Linked DNA regions of Pelodiscus sinensis. The protein of the gene in region 2 interacts with the protein of the main gene of each other region in a biochemical or structural test. Links are inferred from orthologs where the notes say so. Each region holds a gene or a part of one and is shown on either strand. Other genes may lie near its edges. The genes, in order: TRIB1 and CEBPA.

The links.
Region 1: the proteins of CEBPA (region 2) and TRIB1 form a complex in vitro, tested with the Homo sapiens proteins (2 studies listed by BioGRID and IntAct, with this or other methods). The link is inferred for Pelodiscus sinensis from reciprocal best matches to the Homo sapiens genes CEBPA and TRIB1.

Annotation. Positions count from the first base shown.
Region 1 is NC_134712.1:18,398,575-18,407,595, forward strand, and holds the start of TRIB1 (tribbles homolog 1), read right to left. Parts: upstream 5,930-9,021; 5' UTR 5,552-5,929; coding exon 5,231-5,551; intron 3,723-5,230; coding exon 3,430-3,722; intron 1,165-3,429; coding exon 696-1,164; 3' UTR 1-695. UniProt on the Homo sapiens protein: Adapter protein involved in protein degradation by interacting with COP1 ubiquitin ligase. The COP1-binding motif is masked by autoinhibitory interactions with the protein kinase domain.
Region 2 is NC_134722.1:21,991,337-22,000,357, reverse strand, and holds CEBPA (CCAAT/enhancer-binding protein alpha), read right to left. Parts: upstream 5,351-9,021; 5' UTR 5,061-5,350; coding exon 4,089-5,060; 3' UTR 2,573-4,088; downstream 1-2,572. UniProt on the Homo sapiens protein: Transcription factor that coordinates proliferation arrest and the differentiation of myeloid progenitors, adipocytes, hepatocytes, and cells of the lung and the placenta.

The DNA.
Region 1 (9,021 bases), on a different chromosome or scaffold from region 2:
AATTTTATGTTCAGGAAGATTGTATTACTACCTGAACTCTCAGATGGATTTAATGTAACAAAGAAAGACAATAGTTTACATTTACTTTATGGATGGAACTTCAATAGCATCATAGAATAGCAGGATCTATCTGACAAGTGAGCATGTAGTTGGACTTGGTGGGTCAAGATCTCTCTCCACTATCAAAGTGCACTTATAGTCAGAAAATTACTCTATAAAACTGGCAACACAGTAATCTGATTCCTTTTACTAATTTCCATGTCAGATTTGGTCTTCTCCCATTTAGACTTTTCACTGTCAGGGTTACACATTCCACTTAATACCTATGGGGAAAACTGGGAGGCTTAGTTTCTGTCTATCTGTCTTACATCACCAGTAATAAGATTCTGCAATCAAAGATCACCCGGCAATTGGGCTGTTGATGATGATGCACGAGGCAGAGCAGATTCCAGCTGGCTCTTCCACAACTGTATTGGCCCTGCAGCATTAATAGTAAGAACTTGCCAGCAGAATAAGCAGAGACGACTCTGGATCCACGGTATAAGTCGTTGCCTGCCTTGCTTGTTTGTTTTTTAAACAGTCGCTTTTCTGATTATAGTTACACTTTAGAATGCTGTCATTTGTAACGTGGAAAAATGAAAACCTAAAAAGATGCCATGTGCGAGAACTGTAGGAGGTTCTTGGAGATTTCAGGATTAACAGAAGAAGGAACTAATATCATCATTGTCTCCATGATGTTCTGGAACAATTTGATCAGAAGTTCCTATATCCTGGTCTACGTATCCCGGTTCCAAAACTGCTTCAAACCAAGGATGAAGCAAGATCTCTGGAGCAGTTAGTCTTTCGGAGGGCTCCCGTCTCAGTAGACTGCGAATGAGACATCTGGCTTTCGGAGAGACGTGATCAGGAATACAGAACTGTCCCCGGCGGATTTTAGAAAACAGAGTACTAGGGTCTGAGTCATGGAAGGGATAGCGTCCTACGAGGAGGGTATACAGCATTACTCCTAAACTCCAAACATCAGCTGATTTTCCAGAGTAGGTCCCTGTTGTGTTTAAGATCTCAGGACTGACATATGCTGGGCAGCCATGTTTATCTGATAGAGCATCATCTTCCCCCTTGATGATGTGAGTGTCCTCTAGGCTCTCTAGTCTCAGCTGAGTCCTGAGGAACAGAAAAACAGATGTACATGTTACAAAACTGTTTTAATAATGAGCACAAAAATAACTTCATACAGCCCCAACCGCAGTACCGTGACCAAAGGGAGGGGGGAAAAAACTTAGTTGTGAACATTTAACAGAGAAACTGAGTGCTAGGATAGATCCGATACGATTGCAACAAAGGTAAGGCTACAGTTTCAATGTTACACAATACTACATATTATGGAAAATAATGTTATTTATAGCCCATACATTGTCCAAATTCCACAATCAAGGAATACCCCTAAGTGCCATTCTACCCAGATCGTACTGGAACTGTGCTTGGTTAATTTAATGACTGTCTCCTGTTTATCAATGAGACTGCACATACAGCAGCATGCTTTTTAAAATCTCAAAGTCCGAATTTCTTTTGCACATACAGTGGTGATTAACCCTCCTGCTCATTTATATTTTCCCCCCAAATGATATTCCATGTCATGCTGCAATGGCCATCTCTTCTGCAGGGACAGGCTCATCCTAATTCCTAATTGCACAGGGAAAGTAGAAAGGTTTTACATTAGATGAGGGGCCCTTCCTCTGCTCTTGAACGGCTTTATTCTGCCTTACAGCTTAATGGTGCGTAAATACATTAACTGCAGCATGTCCTCAATGTGACTTCCTACCGTAATGTAAAATACCCATTGGTTCTGTAAACGGAAAATATGACTCAGCCTATGCTGTTGGCCTCTGATTGGCTGCTGTAGCACTAAAACACTGCACCTGTTCTTCTTAGACTAAGAGAGTCTGCCTTACACTGCTTAACCCTCATGTTACCAAATCTGATGCATAAGATACTAGCCTGTACAATGCATATTTCCAAATTAGAAAGACTGTGTGTGATTTTATATTCCAGCAATGGCTGCATCTTATCATGACTGGTTGGAAAAACTGCAAAAGTTTCCTTCAGGGGAGCTTTTTTGTAGGGTAATATATATTTTTCTACTTAGAAAAAAAAAAAGGAAGCATTGGAACAACTACCTTGCTTCATACATTAATAAGTTAACTCAGCAATATTGTCCAAGTTAAAATTATTTTAAAAAGTGAATTTCCTTGTTTTATGATCTTAGCTATTACTAGTGAAAGAATTTAAAAAATGTCCCCATGGTGAAATGGTATTGACTCTCTGCAGTTTTTACTAGAATAATAAACTAGTTACTTTCAGTTTTGTTCAGAATATTACCTTTCAGGTTTTGAATTGCACTATGCTGCAACTCAAGGACAGGAAACATTGCACAGAAATGTTTGTTTACATACTTTTTTCTTGTCTGAATAATTTTTTTTAAATCAGGCATAGTTCTACTGACCTAGATCTTGTAAATCTAACTTTTACAAAACCTATACTTAGGGCTAAAATTGATTAGAGACAGTGTGTGTCTGTCCATACCACAAGTAGCTCATTTAACATTTGGGTTCTCCTTCAAGTTGCAACATTTACTCTATTTAATTCATTCATTTCTTTCTGCGAGGGGAAGGGATGTCTATGACCATATACAAGCACACCAGACATGTGGCACTTAGATCTTAAATATGAAGGCTGAACTCTGTAAAGGAGGAGAGAGAAATGCTTCTACTTTCACTGTAAGTGTAACTTTGAATAACACAGACTCCAACTACACTAGCACTGAGTTCAGTGGATATTTGCAAAAAGATAAGAATTCACCTGCAAAAATCCAGTTACAGCATGGCAGCCTGGATTCTTTACACCTTTGTTTTTAAATCAAAGTTGTTTCCCCTTTGTTATATAATGTCCCAGCTTCATTTCATTTCCTGCTTTTTTCTCATTTCACTTTGAATCTGATGTTCAAATGCATTGCATTTTTGACATCTAGATCTAGGAAGTTCTCAAATCGTTATCTGTTTGTACACCAAACAGTTTAATCGGAGCAGCTGCTGAATAAGAAAGGAATTTATGCTAGGTAAGTACACGTACACTCAAGCTCCAAGGAAAAATTAATATTTACAGATCAGAGCCATGACATGTTAGGGATACAGACACACACCCCTACACCTCACCCCAAGTGGTGTACAGGACAAGTTGCAGAGGACAGCGGGTTTAGAACCTTATTTCACTTATCTACAGTGTGTCCCCCTCTCCCCCAAAGAAAATGCCTTTCCCCTAGTTTGCGCTGAAGATTTTATAGAACCTTGATTAACTAGAGGAGAAATCTATTCAGGAAGGGCTATTCCTCCTCTCCACCTCCACGAAGACCACTCATTCAGCACAACTCACCTTTCTTCAGTAGAAAAGACAAATTTCCTGAGCTTGAGGTCACCCAGCACAATGGCCGACTGGTGGCAGTGAGCTACGGCTGAGACAATCTGCTTGAACAGCTTGGCAGCCTCCTCTTCTCGCAGCCTTTTGCAGCTCCTCACATAGGAGTGCATGTCCCCAAAGTCCTTCTCAAGGAAGACGTAGGCCCTGGTGTCCCCCAGAATCACTTCTACTACCCCAGTAATATTTTTATGAGACGGCAGCTGAATATAAGGTCGAATTTTGTCCTGGTAGTGTTTGAGAGGGAACACCTGTAAAGACAAAATTTAAAAAAAATCCCTCCATTACTAGGGGTGCTAAAGCTTGTGTACTATACAACAAATTTCCAGGGACAATGCTGAGACAACTGGATGGAGGCCAGCCCTCAAGATAAATTATGTTCAAACCTGCCACTGAAACACTTTCCAAAAATATTCAGCTATTAGTAATCTGATGGAGAAGAAATGTTTAAGAACTACTGATGATTTTGCCTTTCAGTTACTCCGAGGTTTCACACACCAGTGATTGTGGTCACACTGTAAGTCTCGGTACGCAAGCTGCATTAGGCAAAAGGATGAAACCCACAGATGTTTAATTCAGGGAATGACAGGCAGACGGATGTTTTGTAAGGATCCGACAGTGTTCTCTTGGTGAGCTGTTAAGCTTTGTTAGAGTTACTCACATCCTAGGCCTGACTGGAATCAGTGACACACAGGGAATGTCATCATTTCTATTAATCTGATATCTCCACGGAGAAACTTGGAGGCACAGCTTACAATTTCAATTTCACTTCCTTCATACCCAGTATTACAATCATTAATACCTCCCCCTCCCCACTTTATTTTCAGTTCGAAACATGCCTTTAGGCCCATCTGCCAAGAAAGGATTAGAAAACACTCCTTATCTCATTAGAGGCAGGCAGCAGGTGGCAGCAGTAAACTCAGAGTCAGCAACCAGCCCATTCAGAAATAGGTCCAACAGACCAGACAAGCATAAGTGTGTTCTTTAAAAGCATTGCTGACATCTCATGGAAAACTCTGCAAGCAGGGCTAATCAGGAACTGTTCTATTGTGTGTCACTGACAGTAGGAGACAGGGCGGGAGCTGTTGCTGATGGAGCTCAGTTTGGCCCTTTGTTTTAAGCTAGAGCATTTGCTTGGAAGACTTGACTGTTTCCAATGTGCGTCTGCTCCTGGTATTTTTATTCCTCCCCTTACAAGCCACAGTCCTCTTCAAAGCTAACTATAGCAACAGTCACTGGGAATCCAATGAGCTCAGACGGGGAGTCTGGTAACACCCCAGTGTGGAATCTAGGCAGTGTCGGCAGAGAGCAGATCTAACTTTTCTCACCAGCAGACCCCCATGCAAAAGTCATCAGAACGGCACCCAGGTCCCTAGCCACTGACCCCCTTTCCCTCCCAGCCCAGCTGCCCAAGCTCTGTGGCTGGCAGGGATCAATGGGAGCACACAGGCAGGGATGCTGGAACAATCTGTATTGTGGGGCTGCTGAGAGGCACGGAACCAGCCTGACCAAGCGGGTTTTTACCCACCAAAGCTTATGCCCAAATAAGGTGCCACAGGACTCCTTATCCACCTGTAAACCTTGGCTCTGGTGGAAACCGCTTCAAGCCAAGAGGCGCACCCCAGTTCCAGCACTGGGGGGGGGGGGGGGGGGCGCATCCCAAAGGCTGCAGCGCTGGTCTGGGCGAGGGAGCAGTAACCGGGCTCCAAGCCCCACTCCCCTTAGGCTGACCCCGCCGCGGCCGGCAGCTGGCGCTTACCTTGCAGCGCAGCTCCTGACCCGTGTGGATGTTGAGCGCCCGGGACACATGCTCCCTGTCGGCCAGGGGCAGCAGCAGGTAGCCGGCGATGAGGCTGGGGCTCGGGGCGCTGCCCGGAGAGGCGGGGGCGCAGGGCGAGCCCGGCGCGCTGAGACAGTCCGCGGGGCTGCTGGGGCACTCGGAGAGCCGGGGGCACTTGGGCGCGGGCGCGTCCTCCCCGGCGCCGTCCGGCTGCAGCAGCAGGCGCTTGGAGGGGGCGCCCCGGCAGCGGGCGGCCGGCAGCAGCAGTCCCGGGCTGCGAGGCTGCGTCTTGCGGCTCATGGAGACGGAGCGCGCCGGCGGGGCAGAGACGGAGCGCGGCCGGGCAGGAGCTCTCCCCGGCCGGGGGCGGCGGGCGCCCAGCGGGTCCCTGCGGCAGGGGGCGCGGCTGGGTCTCCAAGGCGGCCGGGGCTGCGGAGCGAGTCGGTGCCTCTCGCCTCCTGCTCGGCGAGTGTGTGAGCGAGCGAGCAGCCAGCCCGGGCTGTGCCCTCCCGGCGTGAGTCACCCCGCACGCTCACGCGCAGGTTATCTGTCGGCGGGGCAGGGTTGTGCAATGGCGAGCAGAGCACAGCCCCCCCCCCCCCTACTCCCTTCCTTTCTCCCCACCAACCCGGTCTCCCCACCCCCTGCACCCGGGCACCGCGCGCCGAGCCGCAGCCTGGGGCTTTTTTCCACAGCCGCTGCCAAGCGCCGAGGAGCTTAAAAGTTCCCTTGACGCAAGGGGAAGTGGGCAGGGGCCAAAGGAGCGAGGCCCGCTCTCATTGGCGCGCCCGCCTCATTCAGGACACCGGGGATGACTGAGGAAGACTGGGATGGGCGAAAGCGGCTCTCGTGTGTCACCCAGACAGCAGCGAATGCCGCGGGGGGGGGGGGGCATGCAGCTCGGTGTCATCCATCAGCAGGCCATGCAGGGGGGGCAGTGCTTGGATCTCTGTTATACTCCAGCAGTGCATGGACCTTTGTTATACTCCAGCAGTGTATGCAGTGTGTGCGGGGAGAGGGGGGGGATGCATGGACCTTTGTTATACTCCAGCAGTGTATGCAGTGTGTGCGGGGAGGGGGGGGATGCATGGACCTTTGTTATACTCCAGCAGTGTATGCAGTGTGTGTGGGGAGAGGGGGGGATGCTTGGATCTCTGTTATACTCCAGCAGTGTATGCAGTGTGTGCGGGGAGGGGGGGATGCATGGACCTTTGTTATACTCCAGCAGTGTATGCAGTGTGTGTGGGGAGAGGGGGGGATGCTTGGATCTCTGTTATACTCCAGCAGTGTATGCAGTGTGTGCGGGGAGGGGGGGATGCATGGACCTTTGTTATACTCCAGCAGTGTATGCAGTGTGTGTGGGGAGAGGGGGGGATGCTTGGATCTCTGTTATACTCCAGCAGTGTATGCAGTGTGTGCGGGGAGGGGGGGATGCATGGACCTTTGTTATACTCCAGCAGTGTATGCAGTGTGTGTGGGGAGAGGGGGGGATGCTTGGATCTCTGTTATACTCCAGCAGTGTATGCAGTGTGTGCGGGGAGGGGGGGATGCATGGACCTTTGTTATACTCCAGCAGTGTATGCAGTGTGTGCGGGGAGAGGGGGGGGATGCATGGACCTTTGTTATACTCCAGCAGTGTATGCAGTGTGTGCGGGGAGAGGGGGGGGGATGCATGGACCTTTGTTATACTCCAGCAGTGTATGCAGTGTGTGTGGGGAGAGGGGGGGATGCTTGGATCTCTGTTATACTCCAGCAGTGTATGCAGTATGTGCGGGGAGGGGGGGATGCATGGACCTTTGTTATACTCCAGCAGTGTATGCAGTATGTGCGGGGAGGGGGGGATGCATGGACCTTTGTTATACTCCAGCAGTGTATGCAGTGTGTGCGGGGAGAGGGGGGGGATGCATGGACCTTTGTTAAACTCCAGCAGTGTATGCAGTGTGTGCGGGGAGAGGGGGGGATGCATGGACCTTTGTTATACTCCAGCAGTGTATGCAGTGTGTGCGGGGAGATTGGGGGGATGCATGGACCTTTGTTATACTCCAGCAGTGTATGCAGTGTGTGCGGGGAGAGGGGGGGATGCATGGACCTTTGTTATACTCCAGCAGTGTATGCAGTGTGTGCGGGGAGAGGGGGGGGATGCATGGACCTTTGTTATACTCCAGCAGTGTATGCAGTGTGTGCGGGGAAGGGGGGGCGGGATGTATGGAACTTTGTTATACTCCAGCAGTGTATGCAGTGTGTGCGGGCGGGGGGGGGGCAATGTATGCAGTAGGGATATTAAAAGTTGCGTAGTACGGTGGCCCATACCATTAACTCATAAGCAGCAGCATGCAGTGGGGTGGGAGAAGGAGGTGTATGCAGCTCTCTGACACCCTTCAGCAGCATATATGGTGTATGTCTTTGGTGGGGGAAAAATGCCTGGACCTCTGGTATACTCCAATGTGCATGCAGTTCTGTGTCACCCTTCAGCAGTGCATGGGGTGTGTAGAGGGTGTGCAATGCATGGACCTCTGTTGTGTCATATTTCAGCAATATATGTAGTGTGTATGTGTAGTGTGTATGGGGGGGATGTGGCTCCTTTGTGCCATATTCCAGCAGTATATGCAGTGGAGAAGGGGGAGAAGGATGTATGCAGCTCTGTGTCACCCTCCAGCAGGACTTGTGGTGTGTGTGCAGGGGTGCATGTAACTCTATGTCACCTTGCAGAAGTGCATATTGCCTTGTGTCCTACTCCAGCAGAGAATGCAATACCTTGTCATAAAGCAGCAGTGCATGCAGCTGGGCATTGCCAGAGGCTGACATCTGTCACAGTTCAGTATTGCATGTATTTGTGTGTCCAAGTGAAAGCTGTTCAAACAGCAATGGATTCATCCTCACAAAACTCTGGTGAGACAGAACAATGTCACTAATATCATTGTAATGGGGGTGCAGAGAGATCAAGTGACTTGTGACTTGCCCAAATACATGCAGCAAGGCTGTAGGCAGCACAACTATAAACTGTATCTGGATCTCCTAAACCACTGGACACTGCCCTTACCATAAGACCATCCCCATTACACCTTGGAATCATCTCTTGCATTGACACTCTCCGCTGTACAAACTAATCTTGCAAGTATAAAGCTCCGGAACTGCATTGCATAGGATTCTGCTGTGTTACCTAGCAACAGTGTATGCACTGTGGCTTTGCATGCAGTTCAGATATAATCTACCAGTAAGACATGCAGTTTGGCATGGCTCTCCTTTCACATTCCTACCATGCAGGCAGCTAGGCATTTGAAGTGATGGTAATATCTATGGCCATGCATTAAATTAGGTTTTACAGTATTTGTTCCTCATATCACTGTGGCATTCCATGCAGTATGATACAGGGTTTACAATTTGTTTCACTGACTCTCAGCACTCCTGCTTTAAAAATTGCTCCAGCACCCCTGCCCTCACAATGAATGTGCAGGTGTAAGATTAAACACTTCGGGTTCATCTACACAGCAGGCCTTAACTTGAAATAAGCTACACAAATTGAGCTAGGTCAATTGCATAGCTTATTTCGAAATTCGGGGAGTCTACACAGCACCTATTTTGAACTACAGCACTCTTCCTCCAACTTCCCTTACTCCTCGTACATTGAGGGTTACAGGATTCAGAGTAAGAAGTCTTCCAGCTTGACAGTATTTCAACATTATTTCAAAATACCTGCCTGCTGTGTAGATGCGGACTAAGTTATTTGGAAATAATGCTAGTTATTTTGAAATAATGTTGCTGTGCAGATG
Region 2 (9,021 bases):
AGATTTAAAGCTTGTGACACGTTTTTCCTGAGCTGAAGAGGTTTTGTTTGTTTTGTTTTTTATTTTCCTGGGAGTGGGTTCCTTTCTGCCCGCCCCCAGCCGGTATTGTAGAACGGCCTCCCAATGGCAGGAGAGCCCCCAACACAAGCCCATCGCCTCGCTCCCTTCCTTGATCCAAACTTTCTCACTCCCCTTCTCTTCTTCACGTCGGGACAAGCAGCACCAGCGGCACATTTCTGTATCCCCTTCGCCCAGCTCTGCTGACCCGGTCGCCGCGTGGGGGAGCGGAGCACGGGGCACCGCGTGCAGATGTGCTGGCCGCACCTCGCGTGGGGGCTGCGCGTGCTCCTGCCTCTGTACGTGGCTGCGGCGGGAGGGGAGATCGCCTCGCCTGCTGCTTTTTAACGACAAGGGGGCAGATTAAGGGGCGGGGGAGGGGTCAATGAAAGCTCCATGTCCCGGGCAACCATCATCGGCTTCCCCCTCCGCTCGGTGCGCAGTCTGGGCCGGGGACATGCGGCCCTGAGCGGAGGGTCCCTGCTCTGCTCTCCCCCGCAGAGAGCCGCGCAAGGCCACACCCCCCTGCACCTGTCCCCGGCGCCACTGGCAGCAGCTCGCCCTCCCCTCTCCCGCAGCAAAGTGCCAGGGACACCCCCACCCTGGCGCCCGGAGCAAGGAGGGGGCGGCAGAGCGCACCCCAGACTAGGCGCGGGGGCGCTGGGCCCTATCACCAAAAGGCGCGGCCGCCACCCCCTCCTCGGGCAGGGCCTGGGCCTGCGCACAGCGGGACCGGCCCGGCAAAGTGTGTCTCGGCCCAGGGGGAGCGGAGCGCGCGCCGCCTATTGGAGCCGTGCCGGGGACTTGGCTCTGGTCCTACGCCGGGACCCGCCGGAGCCTCCCGCGGTCGGTCTGTTCCGGGCGACTCTGCGCGGGAACGAGCTGGCGCGGGGCTGGAGACTGCAGGATTCCCCCCCCCCCCCGCCCCCCGGCGCTGAGCTGGACTGGCTGGTGCGCGGGGACCCGGCTTTTCTTGCAGGCTCCCAGCTGGGCGGGCCCCCTGCGCGCCTCCATCTCTCAGGTGCAGGCGCCCCGCGAGCCTCTTCCATGCGAGCTCTGCCCCTTCGAAGCAGCCCTGCCGGGCGGAACCGCTGCAGTAGCTGCGAGGTTGTAACATGGGGCCACGCTCCCTCCCCCGCTTCCCAGAATCAAAAGGGGGGAGGCGGCCCGGCGAGCTCTTCCTGCCCCGCAGGTCGGTGTCCAGGCACCACGAAGTCTCTGACGGGCTCGGGGGTGGACTTTGTCTCACCCGCCCGCAAGGGCATCTGGGGGCAAACTCACTCCCCTCTGGCAGCCGGGCCGCGCTGTCCCCGTGTGACGCGAGGACCAGGCCTGTGGCGCGTAGACGCTGACGAACAACTCGCCCTCCGAATACCCCCGGCCCCGATCCTGCTCGCGCAAAGCGCCTGGGTTAGCAGGGCCGAGCCCTCCAGGTGCGGAGGAAAGAAGGGACGGGCGGGAGCGAGCCTGCCCATTTGGTGAAACTTAAGTGTCCCCATTGCTGTCCTCTCCCCGGCCCACGTATCTCCAGGGGCCATTCTGGGTCACCGAGCGTTGCGAGTTCTCCTGAGCGGGCCCCGCCACCTCGCTGCCTCATTCTGCAGCCTCTCCACACTGGCCACATCTCAGGCCCCGGTTTCAAGGTTATTTTTAGCGAACCCATAGAGGTCAAAGGACACAGGCAGGAGGAATTACCCAGGCTGTGCAGGTTGGAGCTGCACTCGGACCCGTATGTTTTTGCATTTCTTAAATGGTTGTCTTTGAGCACGCAACTAGATCTGACTAGAGCCCAGGCCTGTCTCCCTAGGAACTCCAGACTCGCTGCTGAAGAGGGGCACGGGGTGACAACCAGCAAAGAAGTGCTTTTAAATCCCACCCATGGTTCTCCCACCCATGCACCAAATATACCAGTTTTCTCCGGGCAGAACAGAACGCCTTTAATATGGTTGTTTTGAACGAAGCAGGAGAAATACCCCCAGATCCTCAACTGTTACTAACCCACAAGAGCTGTCAGTTCAGTGGCAAGGCATCCCAACGGGGCAGGTCATTTTGCTTTGCTAGGGAAAAAATAATCAGAAGTAGTACTGCTCTTACAACAATGGCAACTGGTTTTCTTATGTTCTTCAGCACAGTAATTTAAAGTGTTAAGCATATGAGAAGGGGTGACCACAGTGGCCCGCTGTAATAGACCCATTACAGTTTGGACATCGTTTTGTTTAAAAAAAGTGTATATCACTCACTACACAAAATTAAAACGACCAGATCTGGGAGTGATTAATGCACATTTTAAATCGTAATCAGCGATTACACTGCCACCCACGTGAAATAAATGTATTTATTTCTCTGGAGCTAAATGGTTATTATAAGTGCAAGGTATACATTCAAATTACCATGCATAGCAGGGTGCACGTGGAAGGAGGAGAGGGGAACAGATTCATATTTCAGTAGAAGGGAAACATTTTGCTTCAGGTGCAGCCCCCGGGAGGGGGGGGGGGAGGAAAAAACAAGGAGATAATTATGGTAGAATATATATTGTTTATTTATGAATGTAACCAGAATTGACAAACTTTATATGCAGGATTTTTTTCAATTCATAATTCACCATGGTATGTGTGTATAGAGATGATTAGAAAGATATCGCTATAGATATCTATACACACACACACATACCTACAAGCACACACGCGCACACACACACACCCATGCAAGCAACATAGCTTTCCAGATCTCACACTTGCAAACATTAACTTTCCTTCACCTTGCACTTTTCTCCAATTACTCATATGAGAAATTCATACACACATTATAAAGAAAAGCACCGGCTGGTTAAAAGTGCTGGCTAGCAGGGGGAATTGGTTGCTGTTTCCTTCTCCCTTGGGAGGATCCAAAGAATCTACACAGCTGCAGTTAACTAGCAGCATCTTCTTTCCCCCAAGGGGGAAGAAAACCCAGAGAGTGGATGTGACCTAGCCCTCCCTTCCAAGGTAATCAAATCCCAGGCACCCAGGAGGTGCAGACTTTAGGGTTATTAGGAGGCAGCTTGCCCCCTCAGGAAGCTATAACCAAAAATGCTGCAACATAAGGGTTATCTCTCTGCCACCAGATAAGGAAATTGTGATGGCAAAGATGGAAGCAATACAATACAATAAACTGTGGCCACTATACACAGAAAGGCATCACATTACATGAGGCACAGCTTGGAGAGAGAAGACAGGTTCGGTGAGGTGCTTAATATCCCTCGAAGAAAGCAAAATACATTGAAAGTTCGTAGTGAATACCCGCATCGATAGGCATGTATTGGTATGTGCTTCGCCATGTCACGACATACAGTACAGGCATTGCTGCTCTTCGTTTTGGTTGAAGGAGAAAATGAAGGACTCCTTAGCTAGGTGCTGTTCCCTTTCAGTCTTGGGGTCCCCTCTAACACTGAGGGGGAGGGGCAATCTATGCGTTGCCCCCACGGTCCAGCAAACCTTGCCTTCACCTAACAAGAGACTCATCTGAAGGCACCAGGGGCGGAGTCTTGCTTGCACTCGGCTTTCCCTGACACCTAACACAGCAGGTATATTGTCTCCCAAGTAATGTCTCACCCACGCCCCCCCCCATCACTCCCCAGGGAGGAAGACATACACCTCTCCCCAGCCAGGACCAATTAAGCCCCAAACCCACCAAGAGCGCACGACCCCTACCCGTCTGCTCACGCCCCTGTCGGGCTGACGGAAACAGCCCACAGAGCTTTGGAACCCAACTTGTAAGGCACAGCGTGGGGGGTCGCTACCCTGTAGCCACGTGGGCGCGTTCTGGTTCGTTGCAAAGCACAATCTTTTCAGCTTATTCGTGTCGTTCCTAAGGCACGGACCGTGTCATACTACAGCTGCCTGGATTCTTTTATTTGTCATTCAGAATTAAAAGCCAAACTCCCCCCAGGAGAGCCGCTGCTCTCGACCCCCGCAGGGATCTGAATAGGGCCCCGAGAGTTGGCAAAAGGCCGGGCGGGTTTGGAGAGGCGCGGGAGGCGAGGCCAGGGCGTCTCACGCGCAGTTGCCCATGGCCTTGACCAAGGAGCTCTCGGGCAGCTGTCTGAAGATGCCCCTGAGTGTCTCCAGCTCCCTGGTGAGCTGCTCCACCCGCTTGCGCAGCCGGTCATTGTCACTGGTGAGTTCCATCACCTTCTGCTGCGTCTCCGCGTTGCGCTGCTTGGCCTTGTCCCGGCTCTTGCGCACCGCGATGTTGTTGCGCTCCCGGCGCACCCGGTACTCGCTGCTGTTCTTGTCCACGGACTTTTTCGTTTTGCCCCGATGATCCCCGGGAAGCATCTTGAGGGAGCCGGCGGCGGGCAGGCTGTTCGGGTGGTGCGGGTGGTGAGGGCTGGGCACGGGGGTGGGGGGCGGCGTGGGGTGCCCGGGCTGGAGGTGCATGGTGGTCTGCGCGCAGTGGGCGATCTGGTACTGGAGATGGGACGGGTGCTGCTGCTGGGGGAGGTGAGGGTACAGGGAAGCCAGAGCCGTCTGCTTGCACTCCGCCTCTTCCCTGGGCTCCTGCTTAATCACCAGGGGCCGCAAGCCGGGGACAGCGATGCGCTCGTACAGGGGGTCCAGCTTGCTGTCCGTGTAGCTGGCCATGCAGCTGAAGAGCGACTGCTGGTGGTGGTGCTGCGGCGGCGTCTGGTGCTCCTGCCCCAAGGCGGCCGCGCCGGCCCCGGGCATGCTGTGGAAGTCGAAGTCCCCGGCCAGGACGGCTTTGGCTTTCTCCTGCTGCTTGCTGTGCTGGAAGAGGTCGGCCAGGAACTCGTCGTTGAAGGCGGCCGGGTCGATGTAGGCGCTGATGTCGATGGAATTCTCGTTCTCGCAGATGTCGCTCAGCTCCGCTCCTCCCGCAGCAGGTGTCGCCGCCGAGGGAGCTTCTCTGTAGCTGTAGGCGCTGCCGGGCTGGGGCGTCTGGAGGTGGCTGCTGCTGCTCATCGGCGGCCGGGGCTCGACCTCGTAGAAGTTGGCTTGCTCCATGGAGTAGCTAAACTCTACCAGGCATGGTGAACGGCACCTGGAATCCAGGGTTCGGAGAGGGCGAAGTGGACCCAGGCGGCTGGATGAAGCTCTCGGAGCCTCGGGACGTCCTGGCACCAAACAGCCCCCGCGGCTGTGCCTATCGGGGGGGTAAGCTGCGAGCCGCTCAGACTTCCCCTCTCACTCGAATCAACTTGTGCTACTTCTTCCCCTGCACTCAGCGATCCCTCCCACCGGCGTGTCCGAGTTCCTCCCTCCTACCCGTCACTTACTAATAGCTTGGCTGGAGCTTATGCCTGCTATATATACACTCCCGGCAGGGCTGGGGATCGCCCTCTAGTGTCCAATCTCCTGCTGGGAACCTTTGACCACAACGCCACTCTGCCAATTTTGCTGGGTCTTAGCGCCCGCGGGACACGTCCCAGACTTCCTCACGTTGTTACAGTGACAAGCCACTAGGCAGAGATAAGCACAGCTCAGGGTCCAGCCAGCGTATTGGAGCGCGGTATTAGTATGCAATGCTGACAACGAGAAGGAATCATTTTCTCCCCTGCAACCGGGTGGGCAGCAAGCTCGGACGGAGTATGCAAGTGGCAGAATGCAACAAGTGTTCCCCCACCCTCTCCCTTCCAAAGACTTGGAAATAACCAGGCGGGAGAAGAATGCCGGGTCTAAACCTTCTGGGAAAGTTAAGCATCTGGTTGCATTGCTCAGAAGCCCCGTGGCACGTGTGTGGCAGTCCCAGGTACTCTGAGCCCCGCCTTCTGAGCTCAGGAGGGAAAGAAGCAAAGTGGCCAAAATACATCAGCGCATTTCCATCATTCACTGCGATCGTGGGTCTTTGCTTTTCTACAGAACCGACCCATTAAATCCAGTGAAGAGCCTGGCCCTCCTCTGTTTTACACATACCAGCTGGACAGTGTTTGCCTAAGTATCAGAGACTTTTTTAAGCAACTCGTTGTTCCTTGAACTAGGCGGCCCGTTACCGTGCGGGTGCGCTGGGAGTTTCAGAAGCAGCTGAGTTTTAACAAGTTCTCAGCAGCGTGGTTTGCACGTGAGACGACCCCCAGTGCATGCGCTCCCTTGCGGATTACAGGCTCAAACCCGGTACCCTCCATACCTAACCAGGGGCCGTGACACACAGGCACTTGTCCCAGACCTAAGAGTAAGAGTCTGTAGTTAAACCTAAAGTCACCCCTTCGGGCACTAGGACCCAGTGGAAAAGCCGTATCAGTCGCCTCTTATCTGGTTGGCTAGAGGCGGAGCCCTTAGGGAAGAAGGGGCTGAAATTCTGCTTCTCTCTGCAGACTGCAGCTGGCCAAGGGAGCCTGCTTTGGCTCAGCTCAGAAAGGATTTTTTTTTAGTGCAAGGCACAAAAAAGCTCCCGTGTTCAAGTAACTCCCTGCGAAGGAGCCTGCAGAGAAGACCTGTAGCTGTAGGCAAAGGCTTAGGAGGGATTAAAGTGGCTGAGTTGCACAGAAGGGTTGCAATGGGCCAGAGTTATCTTTACAGCGTACAAAGTTCGGTGTGCGGCATAGCTGCGTCTCACGCCTGATAACATCACTCAAGCCAGACGTCTGTGATCCTTCTGCTTCATTACGCCGGGGCATTGATTAGCTGTCACATTTATTATGGGCCCGGCAGAATTTGGGTGGAAAAGCAGAAATGCGCCAAACCAGGCCCGCTCCACTGACTCCAAGCCAGTTTACCCAAGCAGTAGCCCCAGTAGTGCTCTGAGGGGTGGTCTCTCCAGCACACGCAGTGGCACAACCGGCTCCTCCGGAGTCTGGCTCACCTCCATGGGAGAGTCTTCTGGGTGTGCATGGGGAGGGGAGCCGAAGCTCCGGCCCCTTGCCAGCCCCAGCGCTTCCCCGTGCCTGGGGGCGAATGACACGGCCAGGCCTACTTTCGCAATAGACAGTCGGCGATAAAGGCACGGGCCCTATCTGTCCAAATGGGCAGCCAGCCGGGAGATAACCAGGATGGCTGATTTCCGAAATGCAAACACAACAATCTCGGGTTGCATCGCGCCTGACCCAGCTCTCAGTCTCCCTCCCATCAGCTTCTGGGCTGCCCCGTGCCAGGGGGACTGGGACAATTTGTCGGGGGGGGGGGGGGTGTTGGGGGGGAAGGAAGAGGGGCTAAGAGCCACTGAAATACTGTACATCCTGTAAAGAATGGAAACCACTTCAAGTCAGGGGGTGCTGCAGCATCCCCCTCCGCTTCTAGTCCCAGCACCTGTGCCTCTAGCCTGGGCCTGGTAACTATGGCTCAGGGCTGGGCAGAGACTAGAATTTGCCCAGCATCTTTCTGTGCCCACAGTTGGCTGTTTCCTTCATGCTGGCCCAGCAGGTGTCACCAGGGTGCAGTTCCCCCCATGATGGATTTGAGAGAGGACACACATTTCCAGAGCTGCCCTTAGGGGGCCCTATGCACAGAGGTGAAAGTAAGTGGGTGCGCCCTGGTGCTCAGTTCTGCAAAAACTGTCTGAGCTGTGGCAAAAGCCAGTAGGGAGCTATTTAAAGAGCTGGCAGGGATCCAGGGTGCAATAGGACAGTACCTATAAGAAATGTGAGTTACATTCACCCCTGCCTCCACAGTACCGTTAAACTGATGCCCCTATGCCCGATGGTAACTGGGAGGGGGGGAGAGGATGAGATGGTGATTTTTTAGAGATGTAATTTTATAATCTTCAGCAACACACTAATGAATTTTTTAAAAACAAAATTTTAAATTAAGGTACTGTAAACTAACACAGTAAATTCAGAAACTGACAGCATATAGGTGAGGTTGGAAAATGCCTGTTAAATGGCTTCACTACCACTTGAATGGCTCTCTCATGGCTTCCATGTTCTGCTAAAAGGTCTGGCAGGCCTTGTTACTTTTAAGTTAACTAGAACCTCTCTTAGGGTTGCCAGGTGTCCAGTATTGACCCGGACAGTTTGGTATTTTTGCCTCCTGTCCAGTAAAAAAATTCAGAAAATGCTGGACACCTGAAATGTCCAGTATTTTCTGTTTTTTTCCCCTGCCAGGAGACGAAAATACCAGACACCTGGCAACCCTAAGACACACTCGGCTACTGGGCCCAGCCCCTGCCCCCTCCAGGGCCCGCAGACCCCGCCTCCAGACCCTCTGCTTACCTGGGGGGGGAGGGAGTGCTCGATCAAGAAAACAAGATGGCCACGGGCAAAAAGACCTGAAGCAAGGGGAAGCAATGTCTTCCCTAGGTCTTAGTGCTCAACCGCTCCGCTCTCAAACGTAAAGGGGCCATGCTGTTTTATTTTATTTATTTTAGTTGCTTAATAACTTTTGGGGTCTTATAGACTCATAGACTTTAAGGTCAGAAGGGACCATTATGATCATCTAGTCTGACCCCCTGCACAGCGCAGGCCACAGAATCTCACCCACCCCTCCCAGAATAATCCTCTCACTTATATCTCAGATATTGAAGACTTCAAATACTTTGAAGACCCCAAGATGCAGAGAATCCTCTAGCTGTGATCTGTACCCCATGCTACAGTGGAAAGCGAAAAACCTCCAGGGCCTCTGCCAATCTACCCTGGAGGAAAATTCCTTCCTGACCCCAAATATGGTGATCAGCTAAACCCTGAGCATGTGGGCAAGACTCATCAGCCAGACACCCAGAAAGTTCTCTATAGTAACTCCTATCATCCCTCCATTGACCTATTCCCACTGATAATGAATGGACAATTAGTTACCAAGATCATGTTATCTCATCAAACCATCCCCTTCATAAACCCATCTAGTTTAATCTTGAAACCAGATAGATCTTTTGCCCCCACTACTTCCCTTGGAAGGCCGTTCCAGAACCTCACTCCTCTAATGGTTAGAAACCTTCATCTAATCTCAAGTCTAAACTTCCTACTAGCCAGCTTATATCCATTTGTTCTTGTGTCCACATTGGTATTAAGCTTAAATAATTCCTCTCCCTCCCTGGTAT